Linked DNA regions of Ovis aries. The protein of the gene in region 1 interacts with the protein of each later gene in a pairwise test. Links are inferred from orthologs where the notes say so. Each region holds a gene or a part of one and is shown in the gene's direction. Other genes may lie near its edges.

Evidence for each region. The genes of interacting proteins can lie anywhere in the genome.
Region 2: the proteins of NUTM1 (region 1) and LMO2 interact in binary tests that used the Homo sapiens proteins (3 or more experiments, as listed by UniProt). The two-hybrid records come from large-scale screens. The link is inferred for Ovis aries from reciprocal best matches to the Homo sapiens genes NUTM1 and LMO2.

What each region holds. Positions count from the first base shown.
Region 1 is NC_056060.1:26,483,591-26,490,803, reverse strand, and holds the start of NUTM1 (NUT family member 1), read left to right. Parts: upstream 1-2,979; 5' UTR 2,980-3,517; intron 3,518-3,601; 5' UTR 3,602-3,663; intron 3,664-4,566; 5' UTR 4,567-4,608; coding exon 4,609-4,747; intron 4,748-6,363; coding exon 6,364-7,072; intron 7,073-7,213. Other genes in the region: NOP10 (H/ACA ribonucleoprotein complex subunit 3), read right to left, coding at 2,125-2,265, 2,839-2,892. UniProt on the Homo sapiens protein: Plays a role in the regulation of proliferation. Regulates TERT expression by modulating SP1 binding to TERT promoter binding sites.
Region 2 is NC_056068.1:63,295,471-63,302,628, reverse strand, and holds the start of LMO2 (rhombotin-2), read left to right. Parts: upstream 1-3,167; 5' UTR 3,168-3,309; coding exon 3,310-3,316; intron 3,317-3,439; coding exon 3,440-3,671; intron 3,672-7,158. UniProt on the Homo sapiens protein: Acts with TAL1/SCL to regulate red blood cell development. Also acts with LDB1 to maintain erythroid precursors in an immature state.

The sequences.
Region 1 (7,213 bases):
TCAAAAGTCATTTAAAGTCAACAACCTGGGGCCTGACTTTGCCTGGTCCTTGCTCAGCACAAGTAGAAATGTTTAACATCATCCTTAATAACAGATGAGAACAGTATTGAAGACCTGAGCCAGGAAATCTTTTATTACATGACACAAAGTCCACAGTCTGGTTTAAAAGCTACAGGTAACAAAATGTAAAGTAGATTCCTATTTAAAATGTAAATCTCCTCAAAGCTTGATTCTTTATAAAGCCTGTGATACTGATTCGGGCTTACAGTTTTCTTGCAGAAGCAAGAAATTTAGCTCCCTGATCAGTTTTCTTTTTAGGCAGGCTTGCTGTTCAGTCTTACAGACATTCCCCTTACTAAAAAAAAAAAAAAAAAAAGAAAAAAAATTCCTAGATTTCTACAACATTGAATTTTGTTTCATTCCACAGTGTATTTTCATTCACTTTATACTAAAGAGTTTCCCATTTCTGAGAACATCTCAGATACCTAGGAGATCTCTAAAGAAAAAAATCTTCGCTATATACACACCAATTTGAATTTTCCTTAGTCTACACAGTAGGTGGTATCAAAAATGCTAATCCTTTTTTGGGGGGTCAGTGTAGCTTTTAAAGACAGAGTCACAGTCTGCATTAAAAACAAAAAGATAGGATTTGCTTATTTTTTTAGCCACCCCATGCAGCAGCTTGCCACCCCAGGGACAGCGGAAGCTGGGAGTCCTAACCACCAAGAATTCCCCTGAAGTTAGTTCTTTAAATACTTCCTTAGCAGAACCTTTTTCCCTAGTCATTTGCAGAATTTCTAGCCTTTCTTCAAACATTAACCTCTAATAGGACAGGACAAGCTTTTACAATCTCTTTAATACTAAGAGCCATAAGTGAAGAGGCTAAGAAACCAAAAATTGCTTGACAGAAAATAAGTATCCCATCTCACCATTCTCATAAGTAATAGAACTGGAAATCATGTCTTTTATTAACTACGTATGACCCAAGTCTTTAGATTTTTCTTTTTTCTCTCAACAGTCAACTATTCTTTTCTGCTGGGACAGTCAGACATCAGCATCAGTGAGAAACATATTTACCCCTTTCCAGGGCCAGTCTTGATAAATCAAATTTGGGCTGATGTACGTTACAGTGGCACTAGGCAAACATTCAATTCAATGTCAAAAGCCACAAATAAGAAGTTCAGGAAGTACCCAACTGACTTAAGGAGAGGAAGGAGCAATCATTTCTTGAATGCCTGTATTTTGCCTCATCATCCCTATGCTATGAAGAAATTGGATTACAAATTTATGGTTGCCCCATGATAGAAGCTCATGGCCTAAGAAATCTTCCAGGATTAAAAGAAAACCCTCCAAGATATTTCCAGAGGAGCAGTAAAAATGCATAAAGACATTCCTATTCACAATGGTTGGATGAATTAAGATCTATCACTGAACTCTATCAATTTTAGAGGTGGAAGAGTACTTAGGAATGATGAGAAAAACGGAACTAAACAGGTTGACTTTCTCAGAGTTATAGAGGGGTGAATACTCATTTTCTGGCTTCCAATTCAACATCTTCCTCCTCCCATATAGCTGCTATTATTTTTCAAGCAACTCTTCCATTTTGAGTGAAATTTCATTTCAAGGGACAAAAAATTACTTAACTGACAACATGGGTATTTCTTACTTAATGCTAACAGTTGCACAAGTCTTTCTCAAGCTTTCTTCCCCTACCCTAGCACCCTGCTATGACTCACAGCACAGCACGACTGCTACAGCAGTCGCCTAAGTTTCTCTTCCAAGTGGTCTTGTATCCCTGGGGTACTCTTCCCTCTCGTTTCCCTCGTTTTTTTTTTTTTTTTTAAACCACTCCTTTCTTCCCACAACATACAAAATAACAGCTCTTTGAAATCATTTTAATAACCTGGCAGTGATTCAAAGTACGAAAATATTCAGATATCTCCCTTGGACGGGGATGCTACCATGACTGCTTCACAACAAGCATGATCGAAGGCAAAGATGAGACCGGACTCGAGGGGCAAGGGTCGGAGCAAGCTTCCAGGCTCACAGACTGAAGAGCCTGGCTGCAGAAAGTCTCTTGGGTGCTGGCAGGCAGCAGAAGACACATGAAATGTTAAGACATCCTCAGAGGACGGGGCGCGGCTGCTGGGTCATGAGCACCTTGAAGCGTTTCTTGATGGTGATTCGGTGTCGAGAGTATTTGTCGTCTGGGGAGAATCGAGCAGGGTGGGCCGAGCACGTCTGTTGTCCCATAGGATCAAGCTTCTGCTCGAGGAGGAAAGAACATAATCTCAGCACTGGAATGGTGGGAAAACGCAATCCCTGGCCTCAAAAGGGAGATGGAGGCTGGGATGGGGAGTTCAGTTCAGTCGCTCAGTCGTGTCCGACTTTTTGCGACCCCATGAACCGCAGTACGCCAGGCCTCCCTGTCCATCACCAACTGCCGGAGTTTACCCAAACCCATGTCCATGGAGTCGGTGATGAACCATCTCATCCTGTCTTCCCCTTCTCCTCCCGCCCTCAATCTTTCCCAGCATCAGGCTCTTTTCAAATGAGTCAGCTCTTCGCATCAGGTGGCCAACGCATTGGAGTTTGAGCTTCAACATCAGGGGCCGCGCAAAAACGGCAAACATGAAAACAGGAGACGCGACGGTAAGATCTAGAAGCCACGCATTTCTGCTTCCATTAATTAATACCACGCGCGGCTTCTGGAGTTTCTAGTCCCGCCCCCTCCCCCGCCCCCGCCCAAGCAGCTAGGCAACTCACTGTCTTCTCCCGACCGCTCCTTCCAATGACATGCATCGCTAAGCTGACATCCAGCCCGTTTACCCTTCTCACCTTCAGCGTGTAGACTCGCTCTCCTTGCTCGTTGAGGTAATACTGGAGAAACATGATCACACTAAAGCAGGACGTTCCAATTCTGTCCGCAGCTGCCTCTAACTGAAGGCCTCACGTGTTGGTCAATTTCCTTCCTGTACAGCCGGAAGTCTCGCTCTGAAAGCACGCCGGGAATTGTAGTCCAGTTTATCTAGACTTTTCTCCAGCCGGACAGAAGGAGGCGCACTAGCTCAGAACGTGACCAGTTGCAACCCAGTTGCAATCTTGTAGGAGTTGTACGACACGTGCAGTGTGCCCACTGTGGGCCTGGTACTGCTAGGGAGAGAGGGGAGTAGGGATGGATATAGATTAAACATAACTGAATACTATCCTGTTTTTATTTCAAGATGCACACCCATTTCAGAGGCAATGAGTTTCTAGTACCTGCAGAACTAAAGGCTCCAGGATCCAGAGCCTCCTTTACCTTAGGAAAGAAAGAAGATTTTCTTCCTTCCCCTATTTTACATCCGGTTCTCTCGCCCTGTTTCAAACATTGGCGGTAAAAATGCACGATGGGTATTCCATATTCTGCACAGCGAAAAGAGCGTGAAGTTATTTTACGAAACCGGTGAAGCATATTTTAGTGGTCGACCCAAGATTCAAACTCAGGTCTCTGCCACAAATTCAACTCTCTGTAGTGGTGAGTAGCTAATAATAGCGTGATAAGATGCGCCTCTTAGAGGTATGGCGAATTTTTAAAAGAACGTACAAATTCTCTTTATAGGATTCTGGTTTAAAGAAATGAAAATTGGAACCCAGATATCATTAACCGAGGTGACCATTGCGGTATGATTTATAATGGCGAAAAACGTTGGAAGATATATGCAGCTTTATAACCAGAAAAACCTTAAAGTTGGTTTTTTTTTTTTTAAGTATAGTTTGTGTTTGCTTGTAGTTGTATAAAATATCTCAGTGAGGATCCAGAATAAATCTGATTTCCTCCGGCATAAAGAGCTCAACTTGGTTCCAGAAGGAGTAGGACGGGGGGTGGACTTGCTGTGTACTCCATTTTAAATAGTCTGACTTTTGAACAGTCCTGATGTACTACCCATTTTAAAAATTAAAATTATTTAACAAAATTTAAAACCACAAAAATAATTTAACAAACAAACAAAAAAGACTTTTGGGTCTTGGAATTTTACTCTGAGTGGCAGTTTTTGATTAAGTGGGAAGCTTTTCAGCCCAGGGTATGGCTGAGCTGTTTGTGGACTGCAGAGGTGATGGTAATAGTCTATTTGGGAACTGCAAAACAGCTTTCTAAGGAAATGATATACATACAGCAAATCAGCACCCTTGATATTGTGAGACAACCCTAATTTGAAACATTCTGTTCACTTGATCCGTAAATATATAGACTATGTGCTTTGATTTTGGTTTAGAAAATACAGCAAACATTGAATTGTCAAGAGTTTGCCACAGTCTGCTGTTAATAGGAAGTCAGGTACAAAACTGGGTAGAATTGAAAGGCACAAAACTAGATATATTGGTGAAGAAGTGTATAGGGAACCAAGATGTGAAACTACGTGGTTGGGAATCTGAGAAATAATTGGCAAGTTGTCCTGAAGAGATACACAATTGTGTCGCCATACTCTGGTTTGGAGGGCATTCCTGGTTACTGCCTACATACCAGAGTCCTTTGTGGAATATCTCCCTAACTTCCCATTTCCCCCTCCCTTCCCCCCACTGTAGAATGATGCCTTGAGTTCTAGATTCTAGTTCTGTTTTGATCTGATGTTTACCCTCCCTTCCTTGGATCCCTGTGTTTCGACTGGAGTTTACTCTCTGGGTCCTGGACCTGCCTGTCTCATTCTGGAGGCTTCCAGACAGCCACAGTTAGTGCCCAAACCTGAGACGATGTCTTCAGATGGAGGTGAGCCTGCCGGTAGGGGAGGGTCCTCTGCCACCAGCTCCCTCTTTAGCGATTCAAAACTTGACACTTTACCTGGGGACGAGCTCTCAGGGCTGACCTAGAGGGATGTGAGAACACCAGACACCACCAGAGGCATCACACTGGGGGAGGAGATGGTGCTGTTAATACTAGGGGTTGGGGAAGGAAGGGGGCCTCCTAGGTGGCAGATCAGAGCACCTCTGAGGAAAGTGCTGAGTAGAGAGAAGGGATGGTAGTTAGCAACTTGCTTCTCTGGAAGAGGGTGACCTTCAGCATGTGTTTGTGTGGCAGGGGCAGGGATGTGTGTGGAATGGGGGACACAGGGGGGTTCCAGTGGAAGGCCCAAGTTCTGGTGTCTTCTTTAGGCAATTGGAGGCTGCTCTAGAATTTGCCCTGAGAGAACTGATCTAGGGCCGCTCTCAATTTTACTGGGTGTAGGGAGTGGAAGCCTTGTCTGGAAAACTGTTCAGTGGGGCCATCTGTTGCCAAGTCCGTCGAGAACTGTCCTCCTAGAAGCTAGATGAGGAGGTGCAGTAAGTGCCTCTGCTCAGAGCCTCCTGTCTCCTTCCAGCCCCAGCGAGGGCTTCTCTTTTCGTGCAGGGAGCAGTTTTCCTTGCTTTCCCAGGGTCAGGGGAGGTGGGTCACTCTAGCAGAGATGAGGACTGGGGCTTCCCTGAGACGCTCTGACTTTCTGCCTTTTGCGCAACTCAGGCCTCAGACCCATTTCACTGTGTTCCGTTCTTCAGGGAGTATTCCTGGTCCTCTGCTCTGTGCCTGAGGTGAAGAGTCTGCTCGTATTCCCTGTCTCCTTCAGTGGTCAGGAAGCAGCAGAAGCTGAACGTTGTTAATTTGCCAGCAGAATAATCTAAGAGGGGGAGGAGAGCAACCTGAAATTAGGCAGATGATCTGTTATTATTGAAAGTCCTAGGAGACACATGTCCTGATTAAGTACACGTTTTAATATATTTATCCTTGGTCTCTTTGACTAGAGTCCACATAGCCCCTGAACTGTGTCTCAGACTTCATGGTCAGGGCCTTTCAAAAGTGGACCCTAAATTTCTGGCATTAGGAGTTTCAAGCAGAAGGATCACAGATAAACATTATAGTATGTCTAGCATCTACTTGAAGCTCTGGAAACCTCCCTCCCCACACCGCCCTCCCTTTACCCACTTCCTGGCTCTTACCTCTAGTCATTCCTGGCTGCTAAGTAACAAAATTTCTGGGAACAAAACCTCTAACCCACACATCCCCTCCTGGGAAGAGTGCTTCTGTGAGTGGTGGCAGGGACCACAGAGAAGCTGGGAGCAGGGTCCAGGTGGCTTGAACGTGTTTGGAATGTACCTGTATGCTGGGTGGCATGTATTATGGAGTATGAGCTCGTGGGTCCAAAGTCATTGCAACTTCCCTAGTGCAGTCATTCTCAACAGGGAGTAAGGGACATCAGAAACACTTGGGGGACATTTGCAAATATACGTGTTCCCACTCACTCACTCACTGAGAATCAGTGCTCTGCTTCTTCAGGGACTAGAGTTGAACTCAGATGACCTAGCTCTTGGTCTCTTTTTCTGCTACTGTATCCCCTCTTTTTGTCTCTACAGCATCTCCATTGCCAGGATCGGACATGGCCATGAATCCTGGCACCGCCCTGTCTCCTTTCACTGCACTTACCTTCCCCCAACCTGCTCCTGGCCCACCAGACCCACCACCATGGGAGCCGCCCTCGCAGCCCCCTGTGCCTTCAGCATTCTCTCCAGGCAACCCTCTGGTCCTCTCTGCTTTCCCCAGCTCGTTGTTGGTGACCGGGGATGGAGGCCCTGGCCCCAGTGGAGCCGGAGCTGGCAAAGTCATTGTCAAAGTCAAGACAGAAGCGGGGTCAGCTGAGCCCTCTCAGACTCAGAACTTTATCCTAACTCAGACCGCCCTCAGTTGGATTGCCTCTGGCGCTCCCTGCGGGGGTCCTGAGAGTCCTGCCCCCGGGCTCCTGACAGCCTCTAATGTGAAGACCCTTCTGCCCACTAAGGCTGCTGGGCTGAACCAGGAGGGTGTCCCGTGCCTTCCTGCTCAGGCTCCACCACCAGCTGCCCAACTGGCCCCCATCGTACCCCCAGAAAAGGCTTGGCCAGGGCCGCAAGGGACAACCGGGGAAGGAGGTCCTACAGCCACCCGACCCAAGCCCTCATTGGGTGACCTCTTCTATACCTCCAAGGGTGTTTATGAGAACTTCCGGCGCTGGCAGCGCTACAAAGCCTTGGCACGAAAGCACTTATCCCAGAGTCCTGATGCAGAGGCCCTTTCCTGCTTTCTTATGTAAGTGGGGAGACCGAAGATTCATTATCCTAGAGGCTTTTATTTTTTTTTATTTTTTTATTTTTTTCATTATCCCAGAGGCTTTTAAATGAGGAGGGTTTGGGGAAGGACAAAGTGGTTAGGCTATTTAGGGATACTTGA
Region 2 (7,158 bases), on another chromosome or scaffold:
AGTCACTTGAAACTGCTCTTCCTGAGAAAACAATTGTAGATATAATAAGCAAAAAGAATAGAAAATGCCAACAGAAAGAAAGTAATCCACCTAGAGTCAGAATCATCATGCCAACTGATTCAGTCTTCCTGTGACATTCATAGTCAGGAAGGAAAACTTGGAAATTTTCTAAATTTTAAGGTATGTAAGATTTGCAAGCAGTCAAGGGTGGGTAAAAGGAATTAAATTGCAAACCCACTGGGGAGGGATCAAGTCGAGATTTCCTCAACTCTCAAGAACCATTTTACATGTTCAAATTGCCTCCTAGTTACTGAGTCGTTCTTCTACATAAAGCATAAGGTTGCTATGGAAGGATACAATAAGGTCATGATTGCTTTAAAATTATTCATAATGAAAACACATTTTGAGACTCGATTCTAAATGTTAAACTTAAATTTGAGCAATTTAATTGCCCGTTGAATAGAAATGAAATCCCACCGGCAGGCAGTTATTTCTTACAACCACTGTGTGTGAAATTGAAATCTTAAGATACCATTTCAAATATTCACTTTCTCTAAGGAAGTTCTCCCCAAAGAGTAGTGAAAGATAAGAAACTGACCCAAAGTCATCAGTAATCACTCTTTCTTTACACATTCGGGTCAAAACAGAAGCATATTATTAAAAGGAAACTTCAGGTCCCAAAGTTGGCCGTTTGGAGGTTACCTCCTGAAACCCAAGGATATATTTAATTTAACAACTAACTTAGGCTCCATGCAAAACTATATAGCAAGGAAGGAAGCAACTTATCAGATTTAATAAAAGCAAGCAGATGAAAACACATCACGCAGTCATCAAGATAGTGAACTGGAAAATGCATGTATGTTTTGTATACTAGCACAAGGAGGTGAAGTGAAAGGACACCATTCTGTTTGCTTTTTAAAAATGGGACAGGTTTTCAAATCTAGGTGGGAAATTGGGAAGTTCTTATTTTTAACCTCCATTTCACCTGTGAATTTAATTTCAAACTCTCTAAATTCTCCCAGCGATTTTTTTCTACAACACAGAAATGACCATTTATGAGTGCTTAATATACACCAAATGCTTTGCAGGCATGTAATCTCATATCCATTATTATCCTCAGTTCATTACAGGTCTACGGGCCACACTGCATGCGTTTACTCTTTTAATCCTTACAACAGTTGATGCAACAGGCTCTCATACCCCTACTGACAGATAAGGATCCTGGGAGTTTATAGATTCCTGCTCTTCCACTAGATTCACAGGTAGGAAAGCGTGGGTTGTTATGAAGGCAGCCTGACTCCACAGCCACTACCCAATACTGCCTCTTCAGATTAAGTGACTTTCCTAGATAGGCTCCACTAGCTGATAAGTAAGAGCCTAAATCAAATGCAGGCAGTCCAATGCCGAAGTCTGAGCGTTTCACCACCACACTGATTGGTTGTAAGCAGGTGAATTGCTCATCAAAGCCTATTTGTTTATTTTCATTTTTGATTGTAGAGTGGTGGGTTATATGTTTATCACATAATTTAGACTGACTTAAAAATACTAGACATTTTTCCTTTTTTAATTAAAAACAGGGACCTGAGCAGAAGTTCTTTTTAGATTGAAAGGCTTGAGTTGGACCCAAATCTGCTCTTAAGACTTCCTTTCACACACACACACACACACACACACACACACACACACACACACACACACACAGGAGACAGTGGAGGAATTAGGAAGAGATTTTCATTATACCCATAGGGACCTAAGCTTTGGACATGGACATAAGAAAAGGACAAGAGCATGCAGACAATGGTAAATTCTAGGTATGCATGTAAGAAGTTAGAATCAGCTTTAAACAAGGAAAACGAAGCCTACAGGGATGTACTTCTGACTTCACCTTCCAGGGTGATTTCATCCAGACCCTTCAGTGCCATCTTTAAAAAGGGAATACAGTGTCCATGACCATGATCTAGACTGCTCCTATAAAACCATGGATCCTGAGAATACTGGTAGTTTCTTCTTTACAAGACTTGTGGCACGCTCAAGTAGGCCTTTAGTAATAATTTCTGAATGCAATTATTTTCAGGGATCTCTGATGAGGCCCAAGGGACCTAAAGCTTTGCTCTATTGAAGAGAAGACTTTTAGCTTCCTCCTCTCCCGTTCTACATTCGCCTCTCTTCTTGGAGTTTGCCCTTGAGATTAGATGGGGAAGCCTGAACCAAACAAGTCTGCGTTCTCTCTCTTTTCCTGACCCAGGGCAAAATAGTCTCCAAGCATTGCTCTCCATCATTGGAGAGGCACTTTTCTCTGTGAAGAGTGCTATTGGCCCTTTACGGGGCCAGTTTAACTGTAGGGGTCCGATTTTTAAAGATGCTGAGGGAGGGAATTCTGCCGCCGGCAGATGGAGAGGAGACTCAGACCAGCTTGGTCCCTCCCAAACACCCTCCCTCGGGATTAGCTGCCCCTGGTGCTGCTGAGGCGTACCCAGCCCGTGCGGTCCCTGCTCGCACAGCTCCCGTCGTCTTTTTGGAGCGCGGACGCAGTCACAAGTCCTCAGCCAGCAGAGCCGCGCTGTCTTGGGGGCATCTCCGCGTTCCCTGGCCGCGGACCTGGGACCTCCAACCCCGGACGCGCGCGAAAGCCACTTGGAACGCGTACATCTCTGTATGTGTTTATTTCACATTTTCGTTTTTTCTTTCTTCCTTGAGCGGCCCGCTGGTCACTTTCAATCTTAGTTAACCAAAAGGGGAACGCCGAAGAGGGAAAGCCCTAAAGAATGCTTCACAGGCAACCCAGCCGCCTCTCCAAGGAGAGGTGGTCTCTGAGCGAGTCTCCCTTGTCCCCGACGCTGGCCCCTTTAAGAAGCCAACTCAGTCTTGCTGCGGCTGCCGCTGTTTGTATCGCTAATCCCCAGGAGCCCCGTTTAAAAAAAAAGGGAAGAAAAAAGATGGTGGTGGCGGGGGGGACCGGGCAGCTGTCTCTTTAAATGTGATTTCCTTCTATTGTATTTGAATCGTGATCAGGAAAAAGGAAATGAAACCAGAGACAGAGGGAAGCTGAGCGAAAATAGACCTTCCCGAGAGAGGAGGGAGCCGGGGGAGAGAGGCGCGGTCCCCTCCCCGCCCCCAGGCCGCCGCCCCCTCCCTGCCCTCGGCGGCGAGCTGCGCGCCGCGACCCCGGCTGAAGGTGCGAGGGGCGCGGGGCGGCCGGGCGGGCGCGCACCATCCCCGCGGGCGGCGCGGAGCCGGCGACAGCGCGCGAGCCGAGCCAGACCCGGCGGCGGCGGCGGCGGCGGCGGCGGCAGTGGCGGCGGGACCGGGATGGAAGGTTAAGTCCTGAGCAGCAGTAGCAGCTGCAGCCGCCCGGGGCCAGGCTGCGCGCCCCGGTCCCCTCCTCGGCCGCGGCGCGCCGGCAGCCCGGTGATTCGCTCTCTCTCTTTGGCGTTTGAAGGGAGCGCGGTGACTGTCCTTGAGCGCGGAGGGGCGAGCTCGCCGCCAGAGCGCCGGAGCAAGAAGAGGCGCAGGAGCGGCGGCGGCGGCGGCGGCGCCCGAGCACCCGAGGGGGTCCGAGCCCCGGCAGCCGGCCAGCCCCGCGCCACAAAGGGAGCGCCCCCGCCGCCTGGCACGCCACCTCCCTCCCCAATGTCCTCGGCCATCGAGAGGAAGAGCCTGGACCCATCTGAGTAAGTGTGACGCCCCTGCCACCGAGGGTCCACGGCCTCGCGACCCGGAGCGGCGGGGTGGGGCGGGCGGCCGGCGGGAAGGCTCCAGGTGCGCGCCCGCGGCGTGCCCTTGGTTCCCTCTGCCGTGCGCGGGGCTCCCGCATCCTCTTGGGTGACCCCGGGGACACTGGGAGAGGGGCTGGTGGCGGGCGGCAGGAATGCGGTCGGCCCGGCGCCTCAGCGGGCCCCTCGCGGCTCCCTGGGACGCTCCCTAAAGCCACTTCGGGCCAGAAAGTTTGCACAGGAGCATGCACAAGGGGAGGTCAGAGGCGCGCCGGTGCAGTCCCGAGAGCCTTCAGGACTCGATTCTGCTCCCTTTTCCCCTCTCGTTCCTTCTCTTTGTCCGTTTGGTCCTGGAAAGGGGGACACTACAAGTGGAGCCCCCCACCCCGGGTCCCCGACGGTCCCCTTCCGGGTCCGCAGGTGGAGCGGTTGCCCACGGCGCCGGGGACCCACGGGTGAGGAGGTGCGAGAGTTCACCTCGGAGCTCACCCAGGCCTCCAGAGACTTTAGAGCAGCCGAGCAACACGGGAGTTAGTCTGGATACGCGGACACGCCTCTCCCCTCGGAGTCCACCGATGGGTACCTTTGAACCTCCAAAGTTAGTGCACCATTTTGGATATAGGTGAATTTTTCCGGAGAGCGGAGTCTTAAACGGCTTTTGTCACAATCTCAAAGGGTTTAGGGTCTGGGAAACAGAGCTCTAAATGAACCGCATTTGTTTTCTGAGCCCATTGCTCAGTGTTAACATGGGGAGAGAGGGATGTTTAAGATGTCATTTTCCCGTCAGCGCAAATGCCCTTTTAAGATTCATTAGCTGTCTGGTTTTGAGAATTTTTATTCCTTTGAAGTCCCCATCTAAATCCTTTGAAGGGATTTGTTACACAGACCAAAGGAGCTGGTTAATGACTTGTCCATTTGTGCTTTTAAGAGGCATTTGTTTTGTTTTGTTTTCTTTTCCTGCTTTAAAAGAATTGTGCTTTCCTGATTGAAATACCTCCTCCTCCCAATTTCAGCCTCCTATGGTGTTTATATACCTGGGTTTTACCAGCATAAAAGCTCAGCGTGTTCTCATAAAACACAGGAAGTAACCATGATCCAGTGAGAATATAAACATCACTATTCAATCTTGAAGGTTCAGAAGCCAGATCTACAAGGAGTCAGGTTTGTTCTAACAAAAACCCAGCTTCCTTAAATTCTCAGGGAAAAAAATAACATTGCTTTTTTTTTTTTTTTTTAAGTATTTGTTTAGGAAAACTCTGGGAAGGGTGCTTTGCTCACTTTTTTTTTTTTTTTTTTTTTACAAACCTAGAATGATAACTTAGCCCTGAGTTTTCAGAGCCTGGGCAAGATGATAGTAATACAATAAGAGAGTGCATTGGATGAATTACCTTTGAAAGGTGCCTAATGCCTTTTCGATCAATAGAACTTAGTCACTAATCTTTTTATTAGAAGATAAATCTGGAGGTTTCAGTTCCCTGAAGGAAGGTTGCTCCTTTCAAAGTTTGTGCTTTTTCACAAAGAGACTGGAAAATTGAAACATGTTCACCTCATAACACAGCAGGCATCTGCGGAAGGATGCTCAGTAGGGTGCTCTTCTCTATCCTTTGCTTCACTATTTGCCCAGTGAAGATAGGCTTTAATTGGAGATGGACCAGCTAGCTGAGAAATTATTGCAGAACATTTTTCCCCCATATCTTTCTTGGAAACTGTTGAGAAATTATCCCAGAAATCCAGGCCAAAGTGTATTGAGGTGTAATGTTCAGATAGGCTCTAGGAGAATGTAAAATATTAATTAGAGGGTGAGTCCCACAGTTATTGGCTTGGAACCTCCACCAAAGATAATGTGATATTATCTTTAATTATAGAAAGATAGAGCCAATATCTTATTCAGTCCTTTCCTATCTCATATTAGGCCATCACAGACAGTAGCTTTTTGGCTTAACATTTCCTCCTGTGGACCACTACCCTACCAGATGCTTCAGTGAGTACATACTTGGGTCAGTGTGACTGAGGTCAGTCTGATCAGCAACTCCAAATTACACCCAGAAACTTGCCTAGGCCTATGCAAATGAAACATTTAGACAGAAAGACAGCCAGAATTCACACACACACAGATTTCCTCTACTGTGCCGTCGGTGGCCCCTCCTGCCTCCCTGTGAATAACAGGAGCAGTTCATTTCAATTCCAGGCAGTTTTGCACCAGCTAAGTGCAAATTCTCTTCTTTCACAGTTGGTTGGCAGGATCTGCGTCAGGGCATCCAGTGGTGTTGAGGTTCCATGAATGTTTCTGAAAGCCTAAATAAGGCCACGGGCTGTGAAAAGGGAAGAGAAGTGATTCTGAGGCACAGGGAAATGCTGGGTGTTTTATTTTTTCAGGAGGGAGGGTGGAAGTCCTTATACATAACCTGTGGAAACAAAGACAAGTCAGGCTTCAGTGGATGTTTAAAACTCTATTTAAAGTGTGGAGTTTTTAGGAGATAATTAGTTTGGGTTTTACAGTTCCCTGGGCTAAAAGGAGATCATCTCACAAAGGACCCTCATACCCATTCTGCAAAGTGTGGGCTCGGTTTCAATATGCTTGAATATTCACAGGGAAGCGTGCACTTTAAAGACAGTTCTCTGAAGGTGTCAGAGTGTGTTATCAACACTGATTCCCTGAGCCTCATCCTTCCTAAGTATAAAGGGCCTTAAATGCTGTGGGCACAGGCCAGTCAGGATGCAAGGTCACCAAGTAAGCCAGCATCAGCTGGAAATAGGAGACACAGATTTATATCCTCAAGGTACCAAGGGGGAAATTCCCTTTGGGAGTTTCACAGTTAGAAGCAAGTCCATTTTTCCAAACATAACAGATTTTTGATAAATAGATTTGTGTTTGAGTGAAGTTCAAGAGAGCATTTGTTAATTGCTACAGATCAACAGGTACTCAGTTTTTCCCATGTCCCATCTGGTGCAGGAATCATTTCTCGCACCCTATTATTTTTTTATCTTCTTCTGGCAAGTAGAGTTATTTCTTTTAAAATGTAAAACAAAAGGATTCAGATTCCAGTTAAGTGAACTGGGGACACTATATGATTTTGTAATGAAAGAACACATGTCACAGGCTCACTCTTAACAATTGCCTGGAGGAGATTTCAGTGTTTAATTGCCTTCCACACTCTCTCCCCATTCTCTTTCCTAAATCAACTTCATGCGAATCAGATTTGCTGCTGTAAAAGTGTTCATGTGCAAAAAGTTCTGTTTGATCTTTATAAATATAACAGTGGCTTTAATCAACACCTGAGATTTTTTCCTCAAGGACTCATTCCGTAAGAAGGATAGGATGTGGAGTTTCTGTTAAAAATAATAATAATGAGAATTTCTATTATATCTTGATGGTATTTTTATTTGGGAAAGAGAAAGCAACCTAAAATAATTTGGGGACCCTTTCTTCCTCACCTCTACATTC